Linked DNA regions of Drosophila melanogaster. The protein of the gene in region 2 interacts with the protein of the main gene of each other region in a pairwise test. Each region holds a gene or a part of one and is shown on either strand. Other genes may lie near its edges.

Region 1 (5,921 bases), 2.1 Mb from region 2:
TTGAAATATGTAATCTTCAGAAGGTAAAAATAATATGTTAATTTGCGCTATGATCTGCATCTTCATAAGCAGTAGGAGGGCAAATAGTGAAGCACTGATTTCAACACGGTATCTCTAGGCCGACGCACCGTTGAAGTGCACTTGCTTTTCAGTGCTTGTCCACGGATAATAACAGTGATTTATATAGTGTTTGTATTTGTCCCTTCTTTGCAACGAAAGTGGTTGGAACCAGCCATAAAAGTTATAAACATATTGATCATTTACTTGTTGAATAATTGTTTGCAAATATCAAGTTCCCTTGGCAACGCACATGGGCATTTAGCTTAAAAACATATGATTTCCAAAGATCATTTTTTAACTGCATATACGATCATATGCTTATATTTATAATAATTGAATACCAACCCGATTCGATTGCAATTAACCATCTTAAAATCCAAACATAAGTTTACCTTGAGGCCACGGTGCACCAATCCCCTTTAAAAAACGGCCATGGTAGAGAGCGCTTCTACAAATTCAGAGAGACTGTGGGCAATTGCCGAGCGTTGTGAAATCACTTATTTATGTTTGAGAGGCGGATCTTTCGGCGGGTGGCGAAACAATCTTCTTGATCGAGTTCTAAGGAGATAAAAAATAGGTTGGCGACTACCACCATAAACCAAAGTAGACATTATTTACATCTAATATGATGACCATTTATTGTGTTATAATTAGGGATTAGCATTTCGTGTTCTTGCCGATTAGTTGTTCTCATGAAACGTAAGCAAGGTTGAAAATCGAACAGGATTCACTTAGATAATGACAAACAGCATGCCCATTTAGTCCTCGATGTACTCAAAGGGCTCTGGGGGCTCCGGCTCCTTTTCCTCGTCGTTCATCGGTCCAAATGCGGCAACTGGCTCAACGAGCTCCTGGTCCTCTGCTTTGCCAGTGTGCTGGAATACAATAATTCCACCGATAGTGACATCCTTCAGCGGCTCATACGACTGGCCATCAATAACGCTAAGGACCTTCAGTTGCTGGCGAAGAACGCGGGCGGGATTCTGCAGGATTTCGGAGGTCGGCTCTGGCTCCTTCTTCTCCTTCTTGTCCTTCTCCTTATCCTTATCCTTTTCGCTGCTGGTGCCAGCTGCCTCCTTTTCCTTATCCTCTTCCTTTTTCTTTTCCTTCTCATCCTTCTTCTTGGGTTTCTCATCCGTTACCATCTTCTCATCGGCCTTGGCTTCTTCGTCCTTCTTGACAGCAGCACCCTCCTTGCTGTCCTCGTCCACATCCATCTTCTCATCCTCTTTTTTGTCGGCATTCTCGCGTCTCTTCTGGCGGGCGGCAATGGACAGAACTGCGGTGGCCACCTTCTCGCGCTCCTCGCTCTTCTTCTCCTCCAGTGGGGCGGGATATGCGTATAACGAGGGCTTGGCCGCCGACTTGTACTCCATCTTGGGCATTTTCAGATCGGAGTTCAGGCCGATCACACAGGTGGGTGTGAAGGCAAGGGAAAGGGTGTGGGCCAGGGGGAACCAGTACCAGTACTGGGTGAAAGCCAGCATGCCCACCACTGCCTGCAGGTTGGTGTGTCCTGTACGGGACTGCAGGGACAGAGTAGCGTTTCGGCCACCAGCATCAATAATACCTGGAAATAGTCAATGCCTAATTAGAAAGATCTGGAAAGGACGATTACTAATTATAAATCAATTCCTACAAAAATACCTATAGTCGTTCGCTTAGTTAAAAATGGAATATTTATAATTTTGAGTATCTACTAATCTTATCTCGAAGCTTGGCGGGAAAACTACGGAAACCAATGTTTAATAGATGCAAATTAACAAACTAATTAGCTTTTCAATATAATTGCATAAATAACGAAAAGGGATCGTGTTATATTGCTTACCCTGAGCCAAAATGGCACCGTACTTCGCCATCACATCTTCGTGCTTGTTGCTAATGACCTCGGCGTACAGCTGACGGAAGAAGGTGGACTTGGGACAGCTCTGGTCCGTGTGCTGAATCAGGATCATGGCAGAGGCGATCAAAGCTCCCTGGCGCACAAAGTTGACCGGATCGAACTTCACCATTGGCTCCAGCAGGGCAATGGCCTCACGCAAACCTGTGCCGGCACAGGCGATACCAAGAGCCATTGCGGCTCCGTAACGAACGTGCGGGTTGTAGGACTCTGCCAGAAGGCTGACCACAGAGGGACACTGCTCCGGAGAGCGGAACAGGATGAAGCCGATGGCTGTCACAGCAGCACGTCGCACATCATCATTTACGTCGGAGACGGCCACGTGTAGCAGCTTGCGGATGGCCTTGTTGCTACCAGTACCATTGTAGGCCATAGCTATGGTGTACATTCCCGAGCGGCGCAACACAGGATCCTTGTCGGAAGACAGGCTGGTCACCAGGGGGTCGGCCTCCTCCAAACGAGAGAACATTGTGAGGGAGATGCCCACGGCTAGGCCGCGTAGGATCTTCTCGTGCTGCGTCTCCTGCGCATACGACACCATGTCCTCGATGGCCTGGGCGTTCTTGGAGCCCAGCATGACCATACCCATGGCAATGCCCGCCGCCTCTCCGGTAACCGCGTCATCCTGATACAAATTAAACTTCAGCTGCTCATACAGATCCTGGCGATGGGTGCCCATGCCAGCGAGACCTAGTCCCAGGCAGCCGCCATGACGCACATTCTCGTTTTGGGCATCCTTCAGCTGTTGCAGCAGGTAGTCTATAATGTTAGCTCCGTGATTCGCATGGATCAAGCCCAAAGCATAAAGGGCACCACCCTCAGAGTAACCAGAACTTGGACCGGCCTCCTTTGGCAGATAGCTCTGCATGAGAGCCAGGGAATCCTTCTCGTGACCCCGATGAATTACTCCAAGCGAAGCGGTTGCCGTCAGCTTGGCCCAATTCGTGGCCCTGGCCAGCCAGTCGAGGTTGTCGCGCAGGAATTGGTCGGAGGTGGTGCCGCTGTGCATGAAGGCGTTGGCAATAACAGTGGCTGTGTGGCAGATAGACACGCGGACCGCTTCCTTTGTGCCTCGAAGGACCTGCAAATCGGCGTGGTTGCTGCGGATGAGGAATTGGAGCTGTAGGTCGATGGAAACCTCGCCGGAGAGGATCGATATGAGCTTTTCAATGTTCTTCTGATGCAACTTTTCAACCTCGTTAAGGGAATCGATTGTGCGCTCTACTTTATCATCAGCTAGGTGAATAAAATGCGATTTATAAGTATTTTAAGGGACTGGATTAGAAAACCGGGTTTACCTGGCGTCTCCTCTGTGATATCCTCGTCAGACTTGGACTTGTCTCCCTCCGACTTGGCACCATCCTCGGAGGTGGTACCCTGGGGCTTAAATGTGCTGGGGAGGGCGGTTGGGATAGGAGCGGTGTTTTTGAGGTGCTGCAGCACATTGCCCAGAAACTCTTGCGTGGCCGACTCGTACAAATCAAAGGCAATCTGATAGGCCATCAGATTGTTTGTCTCCACCGAGGACCGTGTGAGGTTGTCCAGCATCTCGGCTACGGCGAAGGGGTCCTCCAGGAAGATGAGGCACTGACACATATTCACGTAGTCCGGCACACCCAGATCACGGTACAGACTGACCAGACAGCGCAGCACCTCATTGCGGAAGCCACGGTTCTGGATGAGGGACATGGTCACGTTGTAGGCGTAGGCCAGCATGCCACGCACATCGTCCGACTTCATGATAGCGTCCTTGAAGGTGTCCATGCGACGGGTCTCCAGAGCGATGCCCAGAGCCTGGCGGAACTGGTTGTCGTCCAGACAGCGCTGAATCATCCTGTTCACAATGCCCTCCAGCCGCTCGTCCACGACACTCGCCTCCTTAGGGTTCTCGATGAACTCCACCCGCTGGGCAATGTAGAAGTCGATGCACTTGGCAATGATGGTCTCCGTGTACTCATTGCGGGCATTCACGTCGAACAGATCACCAGCGCCCAGGGCGTACGTCAGAGCGTCCTCGAAGGAGCCCAGGTGATAGAACACCTTGGAGGCCACCATGCCAGCTAGCTTGTTTTCGGGGAAGCTGCGATCCTCGTGCAGCATCTCGATCTTCTCGATGGACTCCGAGATCTCCGGCCAGAACTCATCCACGATGTTGTCCAGCTTTTTGAGGGCGAACACCTTAAGATCCGGCATTGGCTCATCGAGTAGGGAAATTATCCCCGCGGCGGACGTAAGACTCATTTTCCAGCTGCGTTGTTTCCAGTCAAAAATATGTTCTACGGATTTTAAAGTGACGTATGTTCAACTTGGGCTCGAAAACTTTACGTTTGCTATGAAAACAAATCGTTCTTTTGCGTACTAACCAACAATTGCACCGTTTTAATTTTCAGTTTTCTTTTGTGCCGAAAAAATGCTAAATCACTCGGTAAGCAGACAGTGTTGGTAATGGTTGGTTGCTCGATGTCTTGCTATCGATGTGTACCGATGCATCGATATTGTTTGAGCCTCCCTCAGACAATTTAAAAATCGCTGTTAATTTTCTGTATGTTTAAATATGTATTGGACATCAAATTTTAACAAAATTGAAATGAAATGTAATACATTTGGAGCATAGTTTGAAATTAGTTGTGAGTGACCAGGTTGTTCTGTGTTGTGGTACCTTTTTGCCGCCTTCTTACCACCTCCACTTCTGGGCACACTGAGCATCGCATCTACAACAAAAAACGCGCGAAGGTTTGCGCAGAAAACGCAAAACACCGCCGCGACAACATCCTGGAGCAGCGGACCGCATCATACACAGCACAGTAAACAAACGAAAGATAATTGCACAACATGCTCTGCGAGGATCAGCACATGTCCGTGGAGAACACACCGCAGAAAGGCTCCGGCAGCCTGAATTCCTCAGCATCCTCCATTTCGATCGATGTGAAGCCCACCATGCAGAGCTGGGCCCAGGAGGTCCGCGCGGAGTTTGGCCACAGTGACGAGGTAAGTGAAGGTTGGCTGCTACGATCGGGAACACAATTAATTCTCTTGTTTGCACGTGCAGGCCTCCAGTTCCTTGAATAGCAGCGCTGCCAGCTGCGGTTCCTTGGCCAAAAAGGAGACAGCCGACGGTAATCTGGAGTCCAAAGATGGCGAGGGCCGGGAGATGGCATTTGAGTTCCTGGATGGCGTCAACGAGGTAAAGTTCGAGCGCCTGGTCAAGGAGGAGAAGCTAAAAACGCCCTACAAGCGCCGACACTCGTTCACGCCGCCCAGCAACGAGAACAGTCGCTCCAACAGTCCAAACAGCAGCAACTCCTCGGCCAACGGAGATGCAGCTGCGCCCAAAGGCGGCAACAATCCCCATTCGAGGAACTCAAAAAAGTCTGGCAACTTCCGCGCCCACAAGGAGGAGAAACGGGTGCGCCACAACAGCTACACGTCCTCCACCTCATCGTCATCCTCCTACACCGAAGCCGATCCCGCCATCCTAAGTCGCAGGCAGAAGCAAATAGATTACGGAAAGAATACTGCCGCCTACGAGCGCTATGTGGAAATGGTGCCAAAGGACGAGCGGACTCGCGATCATCCGCGCACCCCGAACAAGTATGGAAAGTACAGCCGCCGCGCCTTCGATGGGCTCGTGAAGATCTGGCGCAAAAGCCTCCACATCTATGATCCACCTACACAAGCGCGCGACACGGCCAAGGACAGTAATTCCGACTCGGATTCTGACTAGGATCGAATCTTGTTACCGGGCCGGGCTATGTTTTTCAAATATCGGGGGTTTAACTACTAATTTTTATTTCAAGTACAAAGTTAAAACTATGAATCAAACACGCATCTTCGAGTCACAAGGCCGTGTACGGGGAATTGTTACGCAGATGTTTTGTTGAATAAAATGGCGTCTTACAAGATCCTGGGTTTTCTGTCGTTTGCTACCTGAGGAAGTCCTTGGTGATTCGAAATTTTCCGG
Region 2 (4,111 bases):
AACAAAAGTTGCTTGAACTCTTACAAATTCTATGCACATTGGTTGGTGAATGGGTGGGGTTACCAGTTATACGACTTGTAGATAAGCACCAGATTTGATAATTTGTTTCATTATCTGAGCATTTCATAGTAACGTAATAAAGTATCCACGGGAGCTGCCACGTGCCTGTGTCTTAAAAATATTTATTTATCAAACTTATTAGCATAGGCAAATTAAAATGTTTCCTTAAGCTAAATTCCTGCTGCGACCCACTCCAAATGCATTAAAAGAAAGTTAGCTCTGAGCATTTGCATTTGTATTGCTATCAATGGCAAATCTTATGGTCAATATTTTGGCAAATATTCGCATTGAATGACTGGATCAGCCCGATTAGGCACACGTTGCCAGTCGGGTTTCGACTACGTCATAGCCAAAAAAACAGGGAAATCCTCTGACCAGTTACAGCATAATGGCCTCAAGCCAAACTTCTTTGTCGAATGTTCCACTCTTCCCCCAAAGTGTGTGACTCACAGAAAAGCTGCCAATTAGATCGGATAATGACCACAAGCGATGGTAACATCGATCGTCATCTTTGATATTACAATATTTGTCAGCGCTAATAATATAATATTTATGTTGTCCACGGTCCACGATTTCACTTTCCAACCAACCGAAGAGAGCGCTCAACATGTTTTCAGGCTTTTCATTTAAACTGTATTTCGTATTCGGTCACTTACATCTATATATTCATGCACTCTCCGCAATTATAATACAATATATATATATTTTTTCTTAAAGTTCAATGTTGTATAGTTTTGATACATGATCGCCCTAACGTCTTATCAATAGAAACGTAACAAGCGGCTCCTGCGCAGTCAAACTGCTCCTTAATCCTTGGATTTCTCCGGTCAGGTCAGAGTTCGGTGGCGAAATAAATGCGCCTACTGGGTCAGAAGTCACCCACAGCATGGGAAACGAACTCAAACTGGCGCTCAATGCTGTTCTCCGACTCCAGTTCCAGTGCATCGTCGATGAAGTGCATCTCGACGTGCTCGCGGAACGCATTGAAGGACACTTGGCTGGAGTACTGCTTGCCGCACATAGGGCAGGTCTTCTCCATTGCGTCGGCTGCATCTGCTTTGATTTTCTCTTGTATTATGTTAATTCTCTGGCTGGGCGGCGTGCCATTGTGTCCATTGTGTTGGCTCTCATAGTTCTTCAGCTCGCTGGTCAGGCTGTCGTCCGTTTCCAGACTTTTGTCGGCCATCTCCGGTTTTTTGATGGTTTTCTGGGCACATTCCGGACAGGGCTTGAGTGCTGCTTGCACATAAAACAGGCGTTAAAAGTTATTTTTTTTATAGCATGAATTCCATTTTGTTGCTTACCTATGCGATTTTCTAGCAGAGTCATTACCGATCTGAGCTCCTGCTGCTGCTTCATGGCCTCTCGCCTCAGCTCCTGCAGTCCATCCAAACATCTTTTGGCATCCACATTGGCATCTGGTTCACTAGTGGTTTCCTCCACCTTTTGCAGGTTGTAGGGGTAACCTAGTTCCTCACTGCTGGCACCGAAGTCATCCAGGGCTATTTCCTCCAGACTGAGATCCTTAATGCCGTCGGAGAGCATCTTTTGGCGAAGGTGAGGATTGGGGGAGTGCTGCGTAAAGGTCTTGGAGCGCACCAGGTTCTGGTTTTGCTGGGCTCGCGAGTCTGTTGAGCTGGGCAGTGCGTTCAGCTGCTGATCCTTGGAGATCTGCGATAGGCGGGACCAGAGCCGTCTGTTCTCGTTGGATACCATGCCAATGTGCTCCTCCAGCTGCTCCTTTTGGCGCTGCAGCTCAGAGACCTGTGCTTTCAGAGAGAGGACGTCCCCAGTGACCCCGATTTCGTTTGCCCTTGGAGCACCTTCCGACCTGCTGGAGGCCTCCCTTAGCTGCTGGTTCTCCTCCTCCATGCTGGCCACGCGGCGCTGCAGCTGGATGCACCGCTCCTTGATCGTCTGCAGCGCCACTTGCAGTGCGTAGTTCATTTTTTCACTGGAGGGGGAGTTTGTGGATCCGGAAGCGGACATGGAACTGGCCATAGGCGTGATTTTGGCAGCAGATGCCTCCATTCTGCAGTATTGGAGTTCCTTGGCACTTGATCCCAAAAATATACGTTTTCCTGTAGATGTTTGATTTTCCAAATTTTTATTGCGTTCTCATTAGTATGACCGTGCGATGAACTTAAAAAAATAATATACACTATACCGATAGTCTATAGTCACTGAAGACAGATAAATAAAAGTAAAGTAATGTATTGAGCTAAGTTTAATTACTTAAACAAAAATAACGACTCTTGATCTTATAAAGTTAGACCACCATTTACATGGTTGAAGACGATAGGTTCAACAGGTTTCACTCTATCTCAGCATTCCTATTACGTTATTTGGTAGAGTGACCAGCTGGTATCGCGAACAGCTGTTTTTGTTTACGCTGCATTATTATCCAACAAATTTTCCGATGTTTTGCGGCAAGAGTTTAGTCAATAATTTTTACAAATATAAGAGAAAAGTGTGGCAGAATGTAATCCCAATTGCACAGCGCTGCAAGGGAACTTACCACCCTCCAAAAATTCTCTTTTTCGGTACCGACAATTTTTCCTTGCCCAGCTTACAGGCGCTACACAAAAACTGCGGGTAAAATGTTTTAAACAATAATGTTAAATTGGATTAATAAGAATATTTTTCTTAGTGATCGTTTGGGAGTTGTTACCTCCTTCAAAAGTCCCGCCAACTGTGTGAGGACCTACGCGGAAAAGGAGAAGCTTCCCCTGCAAAAGTGGCCCATAGATCCTTCTGTGTGTCCGCAATTTGATCTGGGTGTGGTGGTCTCCTTTGGCCACCTGATTCCTGGTAGTATCATCAATGGATTTCCTTATGGGATGATCAATGTTCACGCTAGTTTGTTACCCAAATGGCGGGGAGCTGCTCCCATCATATACGCCATCATGAAGGGAGATGCCAGCACTGGAGTTTCCATCATGAAAATCGAACCTCACCGGTTCGATATCGGTGATGTAAGTTCATTCTTATCTTACCATTGTATGCAGTAGTATTGACGACTTATGCTTTAGATTTTAGCTCAGCGAGAAGTGGCTATTAATCCCGATGTCTTCATGCCGGATCTGCATGCATCTTTGGCGTCGCTAGGAGCCGAGTTACTTGTGGATACTATTAACAACCTATCAGTAAGACTTAAGGAAGCCAAACCCCAAGATAGTTCAAGGGTCAGCTATGGTAAAGCATATCTAAGCACTTCGAGAACCTATATAAACTATATTTTTGCCTTCAGCTCCCAAGATTACCAGTAAAATCACAGAAATTATCTGGTCCGAGCTGAGTGCCATTGAAATATACACTCGTCATCGAGCTTTGTATGGCTACAAAAACCTTACAACCAACTTTTTGGGCAAGCAAGTGCAGTTGCTGGAGTTGCGATTACCGGAGAAGAGAGTTCCCGTCCAAGAACCTGGTGCCATCAGCTACCTAAGGAAGTCGAGATCCCTCATAATCGGATGTGCTCAGCAGAGTCAGTTGGAAGTGCTTCAGTTACGCGTGGAAGGTAGAAAACCTATGAGTGCCCAGGACTTTAACAACGGATTCCTGAAGCAAGCAAGGTCCTTATCCTTCACAGAGAATAAAATAGCATCGATTTGATAACGAACGTGTGGATTTAATGCACAATGGATGCTTAGTATCTAGGCCAAGTCGGAGGGCTTGACTTCCTTGGTTTCGGACAGCTGCTGCGTGGATTTTTGGAGCAGATTCTTGGTGAACCACATGGGACGAGGCTTCTTCATCTCCACGATGCGCTTGTTTTTCAGATCATCTGTGGACTGTTCGGCCTTCTCGCCTTCATAAAGAACGATTACTTCCTTGTCCACGGGATCTAGACCGAGTGTCTCCTGGATTTTCGACTGCATGAGCTCAGTCTCCTTCAGGACCTTTTGGTAGCAGAAGGCTGGAAGAGCAACATTAAAGGTGGCTACCTCTTTGTATACTTTTAAGGCTACTTACGACAAAGAACTCCCATCTCGTGGTCATGGCCACATTGCAGACAGGAGCGGAGGTTTCTCTTCTCCCTCAAAGGCTT
Region 3 (7,541 bases), about 23 Mb from region 2:
CTACCGAGACAGCTACCCGCGCACCTCCCACATCCGCTGGAAGTTTGCCCTGAATCGACTGTTGGAGGTGGTGGCCATAGCCTTCCTGTACGCGTTCATCCATGAGCGGCACATCCACGAGCACTTCGGACAGTACGGACTGGAACCAATGGGACCCTCCCAGCTGATCCTCAAGCTGTTCGGCATGATGCTGCCCAGCGCGGTGATCTTTCTGTGCGGCTTCTACCTAATCCTGCACTCGTGGCTGAACTTCACGTCGGAGCTGCTACGCTTCGGTGATCGAATGTTCTACAAGGACTGGTGGACGTCGCACACTTACGATGGCTACTACAGAAACTGGAATGTCGTCGTGCACGACTGGCTGTACGAGTACGTGTACAAGGATATGTACACTCATGTGTTCCGAGGTTCCAAGGTGGCCGCCTCGCTGGCAGTGTTCATGATCTCCGCTGTGGTCCATGAGCAGGTTCTCGGCTTTGCCCTGCAAATGTTCTTCCCAGTGATGTTCTTCTTCTTTGGGGTCGTGGGTGTTGCCTTGGTATTCCTAATGCGGAGTGCTCCAAAAGTGATGGGCAACATCTTTCTGTGGTTCTCTCTGATCCTGGGAAATGCCACGCTGATCTCACTATACGCCATGGAGCATTACGCCCTAAAGAACTGCAACCTAAGCAACGAGAGTTGGACGTATCGCCTGCTGCCGGCGGTATGGCGCTGCTACAATTAGTCAATTAGTTAAACACTACTTTTAAACTGTCTGTACACAGGGCGTACGCTTCGATTTGTATTTTAGGTAAATAAACTTAATGAAATTAACAGAAACGATGTCTTCAGTTCGTTTCGTGTCTTTGAACTTCCCAGCTGAACCCTAAAGCTATGGTTTCTTATTTTACATCAGGCTGCCTGATGCTAACTTATGAAATACTACGTGAGCATTGACGAGTGCGTCCTTGGAAGAGCATTCCTCGGCGGCATGGCATCCTCCGCCTAACCGCAGAGATTCGCGATGGCCTGAGCCGCATTAGCGGCTGCCACCTGTGGAGCGTCCTCTGCCGGAATGCGTTTGCGTCGGAATAGAATCACATGCGGCTCCGGCGCGTGGACCATGTAGTGCACCCAGCCGGGGCTCTGCTGCACGCCCAGGTTGCGCCACTCCGTCTCGGTCATCAGATGAGCCTTCGGCACATGTTTGGCCAAATCCGGTGGCAAGATAACATGCCTGCAGGGAGGGAAAGTGGTTTGTGTGTAAACAAACAGTTCACGGATGCTGAAACGCAAGTTGAACGTACCTGTATTCAAAGTTGTCGTCGAAGTACTTCTCTGAGTATTGAATTTGATCGGCCGGCATTGCGAAAAGCCAGAAAACCTGAGGTAAATTAAGCAATTTTACCAAAATAGGTCAATAAATTCAGATAGATATGCCACAACTGATTCGATTCTAAATACTATTGTTATCGCTGCACGTATCGAACATAAAGTTATCGATTTGGTTATCAGCTGTCCAGTTAACAGCACCTTTGGCGGTAAACTCAAATGTACTGTTTTTAATGGCACGATCTTAGCGGGCTTTAATATATTGAACATAAACTTTTTTCTGTATAACAATATTTTTGCAATGTTTAAAGCCATTTTAAAGCCATTTTGTTAAAAAAACGAGTACTTTGTAAAAAGATGCTGTTAGAAAATGTTAACATATTTAGCGAATGAAAAACTCAATTGGATAATATGTGATTTCCAGTGTGACCGGAACTCGCAGGCTCGCACATTTTCCAAATGCAATCGGCAATTTCTCCGTTACTCGCCCATGGCCACATTTGTGCATGTGCGTTTGAGGTTCCTTTCCTTTTTATATAAGCCCCTCGTCTCTTGCCAACAAACCAACAACAACAACAACCAGCCAGGCCAGCGGGCAACAACAACGCACAACAACGCGTATAAATAAACGTGAACGCATGTACTTAATATTAGCATAGAGTTGTCGCCTGCGTGCATTTCATATACATAACATAACATCCACTTACTCCCATGACAACGGGACTTTAGACAGTAACGGTGGAGCAGCTAGAAGAAGAGGAAAGGCGAAGTAGAACGGGAACAAGAAGAAAAAGCAGTGGAAGAGGTGAGGACGATACGTAAATACAGTCAAACTTCCATAAGTAGATACGACTTTACTACTACAATAAAAAGTGTCCTTTAGTGATGAAGAAAATGGGTTCTAAGAACCTAAAACCTTTATGTATATGTACTCCCTATTGTCGCTTAATGAATTTACCGTTACGGTATGCTAGTAAATAAATGCATACAATGTACATATGTAGATACATAGGCACAGCAAAACCACCTATAAATTCGATTGATTTTATGAAGTTCTAGTTGAGGAAGTTTGACTGTATGTATGCGCGCATTGGTAAATACGAGCAGACCGCAATTAGCAAATATTTTTCAGTCCAGCAGGTATCACTCACCACGTACCGCCCAAAGGTCCCAATGCTGGCGTAGAGAAGCCGAAACACCTGCTGCTGCCAGTGGAAAAGCGGGAGGAGCTGCTCCAAACTGCCCAGGTGACATCCAATCATTTAGAGGCGACGCACCTGCCGCCTTGAGGAACTGGTCGCCACGCAGGAGGACACGGATACGGCAACGGTTACGGACTCGTTTCCGCAGTAGCGGGCACCATGAACGCCAGCCTCATCTATGAGATACTTATGTATCTGAACTCGTTCTACTTTGGCATGTACGCCGCCTTCGAAGTGGGCGTGGGCGTTCTTAAGGCGATTAATCTAAACTACGGCGAGAACGCGTTGTCCCGGGAGGCCAGCATCCTGCTCTCACTGTGCATCATCGAGACCGTGCGCATTGTCTTCGGGCGGAAGAGCAGTCTAAGCGATCGTGGTGAGTAATCCCCATGATCCCCATGTTACTGCAAGGGTGGGAAAAGTCCACCGGCAGCGATGATGACATGGCGAAATTATTTGTTTGCCCGGTCACAATGCCCATTTCATGCCATCCCCCTACCTCCGGGGCCATAACCCATAAACGTTTGGACGGGCATACATACATATATGTATGATGTAGCCCACTCGGCGTATGCGTAATTATGGTCATCACCCCGGATGAAAACACGCGTTTTATGGTGGCAGGGGAAAGGCGCCCTTCTGGCACATTAAGCAATATGCAAAGGAAATCTATCAAAGCGAATCATCGAAATGAGTTATTGGAAAAGCAATTGGAGCTGTTAATATTAATTATCGCAATGTGTAAACATGAAATTATTAGTATAATACTTTAAAACACTGAATCACTTTCAATCGAATACACTTAATTATAAACAAGTAGACGAACTATACGATTTTCCGTGCATCTGTAGCTAACATTTTCCTTGTTTTTCTCTCTTTGCAGGCTGGCAAGCAACCGCATCCGTAATATTAACACTGCCCAGTCTTGCTATTGTTATCTACTTGTGTTGTTTTCAAACCTTTGTTCTCAAACTCGAAATTATTCTGAGTGCCTTAATGATCACCCTACAAGGTGCTGAACTAGTCTACGCCAGCATATTCATTTGTACAATGTGTCGCCCCGTCACATACACCTAGCAGTTGATAAGCCGCGTTGCCGCCGCCACGTCAACGACCAAGATCGAGATCAAGACCAAGCCAGCACTAACACTCCCACCTGGAGGAGAAGGAGTAGAAGCATCCACAGCCGAGCGACGACTACGACGAAGACGAAACACTTTCCTCTGGCAATTTCACATCAAACGATTCGCCAAGGCCTCAAAACTAAGCCACTTAAATGCACACTAAGCCACCGCACATAAAAACAAAACAAAAAATCTAGATCCTACTAGACCTCCTAGGAATCCGTGCCAAGACAACCCGATAACATACCCAATGGCTGGCAGTTGAGGAGGACTTTCAACAAGGTACGTGAACCTTTATAAACTTATATAATCCGCACAGATCATTCGCGCCCGCGGAAATCACATCGCAGCGAAACACGACGCGTCCGATTCTATCAAAAGCAAAGCTGCATTTAATTTGCATTTCTTGGTTGCATTCTTTTGCCCGGCCTTTGTGGCGTTGCCTCCCTGCTGGCGCAGTTGCTCCTCGGACCCGCTCGGTTCTGGTATTTTTATACGGCTCTGATGGTCTAAAATTATATGCGAACTGCACGGCTCGTGCAACACCGCTGCTGTCCCCTAGGTGCAATGTACACTTCTAATTTGAATGTAATATACACGGCCCACTGCGGGCAAGTTAGCCTGACTGTAATGGCCAAGATGAGAGGGCTCTCCGTTTGGTCTTTGGTCTAGTGAACATGCCCTGTACGATTCACAGGAGAGAGATTCACGGGACTTTAGCGAGGCATAACGCTTTGAGTTTTTAAAAATAATTAAAATTCCAACAATGGTTTTCATATATTCACCCTAAACCTATCCTGAATTTCAAGGTAACCATTTAATGGCCCTGGGCCCTGTAGAGCATAACGCCCAGGGAGTTTTTAGTAGTTTTTTCCCCCCAACTAGCCGCCAGTGAAATCATTCTCCCCCACATTTCTAGGCAGGCGATCTGCCGGCCAATGCTGACCCAAACAGCGAGCAGAGAAAACAAATAAAAGGCGACAACGACCAGCAGCACATTATTCAAATAAACAGCACATTTCGCAGCGACAAACCGTGAGACCGCCGATGTCGATGCCGCTGCCGCTGCATTGGCCAAGCACGGCAGGTTCGCGTTATTATTATGGTCAGTCTATAAATACAGTGCCCAACGTGAGCAACGCCGCCGTGTGAGCGATCCGGGAGATCAAATCGGTCCAATTTGCCGTAGACATCGAGGGGTAACAGGAGAAGCAGCAGAAGGAGGTGCTAAGCCGGCAGAAAGATGCCGCCCAAGCGTCCGCCACCGCTCGTGCCGAAGAAGCCAAATCCCAGCATGAACTACGAGGTGTTGATCTACCTCAACTCGTTCTACTTTGGCATGTTCGCCTGTTGCGAGATGGCCATGGGCCTCCTGAAGGCCATCAATCTCAGCTACACGGGACATACTCTAGCCCTGGACACGGGGGTGATGATTAGCTTCATTGTCTTTGAGACGATCCGATTGATAATGGGGCGCATGAGTTCGCTGGCCGATCGAGGTAGAAGCTCCCGCCTGCTGGCTGGTCTAATTATAGGATATTCTAAAACAATAGAATCATCCTCAATGGCGTTATCAATCGTTTAATCAAACCAAACCATTAGACTTAAGAAATACTAATTAACTCATTATCATCCTTATTTATAATTGTAATAGAATAGTATCTATGGCTTTTACAATCAGATTCTAATGAACTCTTCTGCTTTTCTATCACAGGCTGGTCGGCCATACTGTCGGTCTTCATGACCGCCCCCTGCTTTGTGGGCGTCTCCTATCTACTGCTGCTCCAGACCTACCGACTGCGCCTGGAGTACTGCCTGTGCACGCTGCAGATCGCCCTTTACCTGACCGAGGTGTGGTATGCCATCGTCTTCGTTTTCTCGCTGTGTCGTCCAGTAACTTATGATTAGCCATATAGACAGAAACATCCAACAGCCAACTAGCAGCAAATATACATGCGAAAGTTTAGCAATCTATAAGATCGAAAAAGGATAATATGCGGTGTAAGGAAATTTAATGAATTTGAAAAGCAGTAGGCAGCTGAATTGCTCATGGCCGTGGAGAAGAGAAACCAAACAGAAAGAAAAAAAAAACAAAACAAAACACATATGTAGCATATTAATAATTATGTATAGTAAGGTTTATGATAACATACACACACTCTTATATACATATATTTAACGGTTTTATATACAAAAATTGTTAACATTTAAGCATCAATTGGAACCAATATAAGACAACAAGCAAAACCTAAAACTTGAATAATTTTCACAATTTTAAGATGAAAATTTTTTTGTAAAAAGAAAAATATCGAAAAACAGCCGAAAAACAAATTTGATGTGTGGAAATAATAATTTATAATAGTTCACAGATAGCTCGAATCTTAAAAAGAATTGTAAAAAAATCAGTGGAATGTCTCACAAAATCTAGTCAGCATCAAAATCATGAAAAACAAATGGCCGAAAGGCCATTAAAAAAATTCATTACCACTAAGAGTCAGCGTTTAGTAGTTCATACCAATATTCAAAAGGCGGAGAACAACATAATTAAGCCCAGTTAAAAGTCTAGACCATGTGTGTACTTTAATGAAACTACTTTATATAAACCTAGCAAATAGCGTAAATAACATTTTCAAGACGTCACTAAAAACAATGCAAACCCGAGCGGGCAACCGTTTACTAGAAAGCGAACAACAAATTAGCTAAATCATATAAAACATTTATAGAGTGTTAAAAACTAGGCGAAAACCCTCCATTACACTTCTCCCCAATTCAGCCTATTGGCAACTCGAAACGCCCTTTAAATCACGCTCAATTATCCCCGCCTGATAGGATCCGAGGATTGCAGCTCCTCCAATGCTAGTCACTAATGTTCACAAACATTTTCTAAGCTAGACCGAAGATTGTGTAATAATTTGATAAGACCTTTGTGTGGTTTCATAGCAAAATAACGCACAAATCGATAACAAAAACTCTCAACAGTCCACAAATCTCATGCTTTTAAAACAAAAGAAATAATTTTACTGAAACCAAACAGCTGGAAGCTAGAAGCTGAAAGAAAACCAAAGCCACATCCTACGTTGAATAATTTACCTGTATAATATTTATGTCATTTCGTTAAACGCAAAATGTTAACATACTTTTAAAGCGCGTGTAAAACGGATAGTTAATAAAATAACGACAACAATATTTAAAAGAACATATACACTCGATGAAAATGAATATTAAAGATCGAAAAAAAGAAAAAGGAATCTGTTATTAGTAGGCCGTGGGTTCAATAAGATCTTTTCGAGTATGATAGGTGTATTTCGTTTTGTGCCTCCAAAATTTCAGATATTATTCAGCTACACACAGACAGGCCTCCCAAATTTGTAAGCTCTGTAAATTCAAAACCAGAACTGCTGCAGGCCAGTGGCGAAGTTAATTTGTCAGAGGAAAACTCAAGCCATCTCCATGGATAAAAACCACAAGTCGGGTGAGTCAAGCCGAGTGTGGCATCCTTAAGTTGTTAAAACTATGTGTGTTCTTTGCTCCAGAAGAGGGGTTTGGACGTTCAATGTCTAGTAGCAGTCGCCGCGTCATGTGGAAGCTCAACGAGGAGGAGGAGACATTCGACTCCTTGGTCAATTATCGGCGGCTTCCTTCGCGCAGCCTAAACCGAAGTCAGGTGACCGATGTGCCCACCAAGGGACACACTACCTCCGAAAATTGCCAGCTGCCAGCGCAAGAGTTGGAAACAAAGAGCGCCACCAACGAACAAGGTGCATTGGGCATAATGTCGGTTAGCCTACCGCAAACAACCAGGAATTCCCATCAATCGTCGGCCACGTCACTGCCGGAGGCCAAGGGATGCACTGCCACCGAAAACTGCCAGTTGCTAGCGCAAGAGGCGGAAACAAAGAACGCC
Region 4 (3,809 bases), on a different chromosome or scaffold from region 2:
ATCCTTAAGCTCTTTAGTTCGATTTCTAGACGAAAGCCACAGTTCTTCAGACTTACAACTTATTGCGTTGTGAGACACTTATGTATATACCGTCTTCTTTGACAGCTCCAACTCTGGGACACCGGTGGCATGGAGCGTGTGGCCTCGGTCACATCCTCGTACTACAAGTTCGCCGAGGGAGCCATCCTGGTCTTTGCTTTGGACAACGCCGCTTCGTTCCACTCGCTGTCGCAGCACTTGCTGGACATTGTGACCTATGCAGAGAATGCCAAGATCTTCATCTGTGGCAATAAGAGCGATCTGGATGGCAGGGAGCCGGAGGTCAGCGATGAGGAAGTGGAGGCCTTCTGCGAGCAGTGCCACTCACTGATCAGTGCCACGTACAAGACCTCCTGTCGCAGCGGCGCCGGTGTGGAGGAGATGTTCCGTGACATCTCTAGGCAACTGGTCCACGCCAATCGCTCCAAAATGGAACTGCAGGCACTGGAGCACAAGAGCTTCCAGGTGGACACTGCGAGCAGCGGCGCGGCGACCAACGAGGAGGACGCCTCCTCCTGCGGCTGCTAGCAGTTGGGGAACATTGAGTTCGGCTAGGAACCCTTATTCCCGCCAGGCTCAATGCTCACGCAGAGATGCATTTTTACTGTTTCCTTTATTTATTGATAGCTTTCGGCTATGTTATGATTTTTAGATACGTACATGTTCAATTCGAATTTTTACGAAAAATACGTCCCGAACGCGAACACGAGTCATAGAGTAGGATTAGTTTCTATTAACCAGGCGCCAAACATTAACCACTTAAACTTTGTACACGTAAGCTAGGATGGCGGATACGCGAGTGATAGGTTAGAAATCTGCGGTAAGAATTAAAAAGTAATAGGAATTCCATCGATTAACAAGAAGGTCAATTTAATCTTAAAGGTAAAAGGACAACAAAATATATAGACATCGATTGACCGCAGATAACTACTCTAAGCTTCGACTCTTATTGCACGTAATACTCCATCCTATCTTATATAGATTAGTGCGTAATCTGCAGCTTTCTTCCACAGAATATCTCGTAAAAATAAAATATACTAAACAATAAATAATCAACTCACGAAATTGGAATGGACAGGCTTCTATAACATTTGAATTTGGGCTAAGATCATTGGCTATTGGTTTGCTAGCTAAAATTACTACGACGAGGCGGTGCTGCTTGAACTGGGTGCGAAGGTCAGATAGAGACTGACGCCCACGGCCACCACAAAGCAGACACCCACTCCATACAAGACCACCTTCTCCCGCAGGGCTCTTAACATCATGGTATTCAGAGTGCGAGAAGCTCTTCCCAGCTCGGCATTGGTTTCTCGAAGTCGAGCCCTGGCTCCCTGTAGAGTTTCCCTTTGGTGGTGCAGATCATTTAGGACCTGGGCGCCCAGTTGCTCCGTCTCCAAGGCCACTCTGTACCCTTCGGTTAACCTGTTGCCCGTCCGTTCAATCCTTTCCGAGTTGTCCAAGAGGCGTTGGCGTTGATCTGTACTTATGGACACATCCTCATAGCTGTCACCCAAGTCCAGAGTGGTGAATGTGTTGGCTTGGGAGCGCTGTTTGTCCTTGGTCAACCTGTACTCCGCCTGCAGCCGTTTCAGTTCTGCCTGGGCCACCTGCAGCTTTCCGTTGAAGCTGCTCCGCAGTCCAGGATTTAGCTCCCTCACCTCCAGACCCATCTGCTCCAGCAATTCCTGAGCCTCGGGCAAACTGGAGTCGATCTTGCTGCACAAATCATGGCGCTCGCCTGGAGTAAATGGACAAATGGTAATCACCATAATGTACAATCCATGGACAATCATCCCACTCACTGTTGTTGTTTTGCTGCTGCAGCCGTCCAATATGGGCCGTTATTTCTGCTATTAACGTGGCGTATTGCTGTTCGTATTGCTCCAGAAGCGACATTTGTGCGGTTTTTATTCTACCTTATTCAGTTGTTTATGGTATTTGTTCTGTTTTAGTTCGCGAAAATTACAGATTTATCGAAGAAAAGAAGTAAACATTGTCCAAGTGTGGCCGAGTCATGAGGTGAACAGTAATACAGCAATCTATAAATACTTTTAAGTCGTGGTCACTCTGATTTCGAGTCAGCGTTGCCATACTCATGTAAAAAACACTGCCAACTTCAAGGACTACAATATTCTCGTAAGAACTCAGATAAAACCAACTTCCGTTTTAAATACGTAAATAAAACACAAACATATCTATTATTTTATAAATTCCATTTTATTGTACTTAGAGTAATTAATAAATTAATTAATTAGGTTCAGCTTTATGCGAGTGGAGATTCTTTGTTAACCTAAGCAACTGTTTTGGCGGTAGTACGATTTAATAATACTACATGATACATATGTACACTGTTCATCACATTTATGTTTTGTGCTGTCCTGGTCCGCGATTAGAAAACTCTTAACCCTCGACCAGTGTGGCCTTGTCCCCTTTTCGGAGCACCAGTTCCAATTGGGACAGCAAGCCAATAGCCCGAAAGTTCTCCTTGAAGAGCACGAAGTCCTCCAGCGGTTTTAGGTACTCCAAGGCCTGGTGGTAGCTTTCCAACTCCTTCAGCATGCATAAAGCCTTCTTATCCTCGGGGTCTGGGGATGTGTGTCCATTGGTTTGGCTGCCGGAGGAGCTGGATCCATTGGGGATCTTTTTTGGCGAGGCGGGAGCAGAGGCGGGTTTGGTGGACGCAGCTCGAGCTGGTGCAGGTGAGTCCTTTCCCTTGGAAGAAAGGGCAGGCGTGGATTTGCCACTTGTTCCGCCTCCCTTGGGGGCGTTCTCCTTGCTGCTGGCACTGTCTCTTCCCCCGCTATTATTGTTGTTCTGCTCGTTGGGACTGGAACTTCGACTGTGCTTGCTGGTTAAGGTTGATTCTGCTAGCGGATATGGTGGTGAGTTCACCGCTGAGTTAATCTCTTGCACTTCGTCATCATCGGGTGACTCCATTTTGGGTCTCTTGGCCAACTGAACGGGCTGGAAGGGACTGGCCCGCTGCGGTGGAACATTTGGCGGCAATTGGGGCTGAAAGGGTTCCCTTTGAGGTGGCATAGTGGGTGGAAACTGTTGCATCTGCTGCTGCTGCTGGAGTTGCTGTTGCATTTGCTGTTGATGCCGCTCGAAATAAAAGTCGTTGAAGCTGGCGAACCCGGGGTGTGGAGTAGGATGTCCGGGATGTCCTGGAAACGGTGGCCATGGGTGGCCCATTTGATGCTGCTGCTGTTGCATATGTTGCTGCTGGAGGGCAAAGTGCTGCTGTTGCTGCTGCTGTTGCTCTTGATAGCTCTGCTCCTTTACATCCATACTGTCATCATCTTCTTCGTATTCTCCGTACTGTTGCATGTAGGTCATGTACTGCTCGGGCATCTCCTCCAGTTTGGCCACTCTTTCAGCGCTCGCGGGCGGAAAGAGATGGGCTAGGTCCTGTACGATGTCCGGGATCCACAGGGAGGATCCTAGTGGCTTCAACTGGTTGCTGGCTAGTTTTTGGGCAAAGCCTTGAAGATGAGTCTCTCGGAAACGGTTTAACCAGCGATTGTCTGCTATAAAGGATGTGCTCCCTATGACTTGTCTGGCATTCTCCGCCTTGTCCTTGATCATTCCGTGGGTAATGCTACCTCGCAGCTGGGGATTGATATTGGCCCTTACTAGCCATTCGTATACCACTGCATTGATGTAGGCGCACTTTCGGCTCCTCTCGATCTCCTCCACCATGGCCTGCTGCTCAACGGCCTCCAGGTTGGAGGGAACTTCCAGACGCAGGGTGGGCAGCGCATTCGACT

What was found.
Region 1: the proteins of spn-F (region 2) and Rpn2 interact in a two-hybrid assay, tested with the Drosophila melanogaster proteins (one large-scale study listed by BioGRID).
Region 3: the proteins of spn-F (region 2) and TMEM216 interact in a two-hybrid assay, tested with the Drosophila melanogaster proteins (one large-scale study listed by BioGRID).
Region 4: the proteins of spn-F (region 2) and Vti1a interact in a two-hybrid assay, tested with the Drosophila melanogaster proteins (one large-scale study listed by BioGRID).

The regions. Positions count from the first base shown.
Region 1 is NT_033777.3:29,152,011-29,157,931, reverse strand, and holds Rpn2 (regulatory particle non-ATPase 2), read right to left. Parts: upstream 4,409-5,921; 5' UTR 4,324-4,408; exon of another isoform or gene 4,237-4,323; 5' UTR 4,202-4,236; coding exon 3,259-4,201; intron 3,197-3,258; coding exon 1,889-3,196; intron 1,631-1,888; coding exon 819-1,630; coding exon of another isoform or gene 792-818; 3' UTR 677-791; downstream 1-676. Other genes in the region: Slbp (Stem-loop binding protein), read left to right, coding at 4,793-4,948, 5,010-5,684. UniProt on the Drosophila melanogaster protein: Acts as a regulatory subunit of the 26S proteasome which is involved in the ATP-dependent degradation of ubiquitinated proteins.
Region 2 is NT_033777.3:31,253,223-31,257,333, reverse strand, and holds spn-F (spn-F), read right to left. Parts: upstream 2,208-4,111; 5' UTR 2,092-2,207; coding exon 1,365-2,091; intron 1,297-1,364; coding exon 929-1,296; coding exon of another isoform or gene 893-928; 3' UTR 675-892; downstream 1-674. Other genes in the region: CG1750 (uncharacterized protein), read left to right, coding at 2,480-2,655, 2,711-3,035, 3,093-3,255, 3,311-3,675; mRpL32 (mitochondrial ribosomal protein L32), read right to left, coding at 3,717-3,979, 4,036-4,111. UniProt on the Drosophila melanogaster protein: Plays a role in oocyte axis determination and microtubule organization during oogenesis. Also required for polarized organization of the bristle. Required, with jvl, for activation of the kinase IKKepsilon in the germ line.
Region 3 is NT_033777.3:8,714,453-8,721,993, forward strand, and holds TMEM216 (transmembrane protein 216), read left to right. Parts: upstream 1-1,790; 5' UTR 1,791-2,116; intron 2,117-2,443; 5' UTR 2,444-2,672; coding exon 2,673-2,889; intron 2,890-3,396; coding exon 3,397-3,590; 3' UTR 3,591-3,919; exon of another isoform or gene 3,920-4,004; intron 4,005-4,745; exon of another isoform or gene 4,746-4,880; coding exon of another isoform or gene 4,881-5,136; intron 5,137-5,351; coding exon of another isoform or gene 5,352-5,545; 3' UTR 5,546-6,868; downstream 6,869-7,541. Other genes in the region: CG8112 (uncharacterized protein), read left to right, coding at 1-724; Cks85A (Cyclin-dependent kinase subunit 85A), read right to left, coding at 985-1,216, 1,287-1,345; CG11760 (uncharacterized protein), read left to right, coding at 4,881-5,136, 5,352-5,545; CG8136 (uncharacterized protein), read left to right, coding at 7,088-7,109, 7,171-7,541.
Region 4 is NT_037436.4:690,844-694,652, forward strand, and holds Vti1a (vesicle transport through interaction with t-SNAREs 1a), read right to left. Parts: upstream 2,077-3,809; 5' UTR 1,936-2,076; coding exon 1,842-1,935; intron 1,778-1,841; coding exon 1,179-1,777; 3' UTR 643-1,178; downstream 1-642. Other genes in the region: RabX6, read left to right, coding at 106-567; CG13894 (uncharacterized protein), read right to left, coding at 2,440-3,809.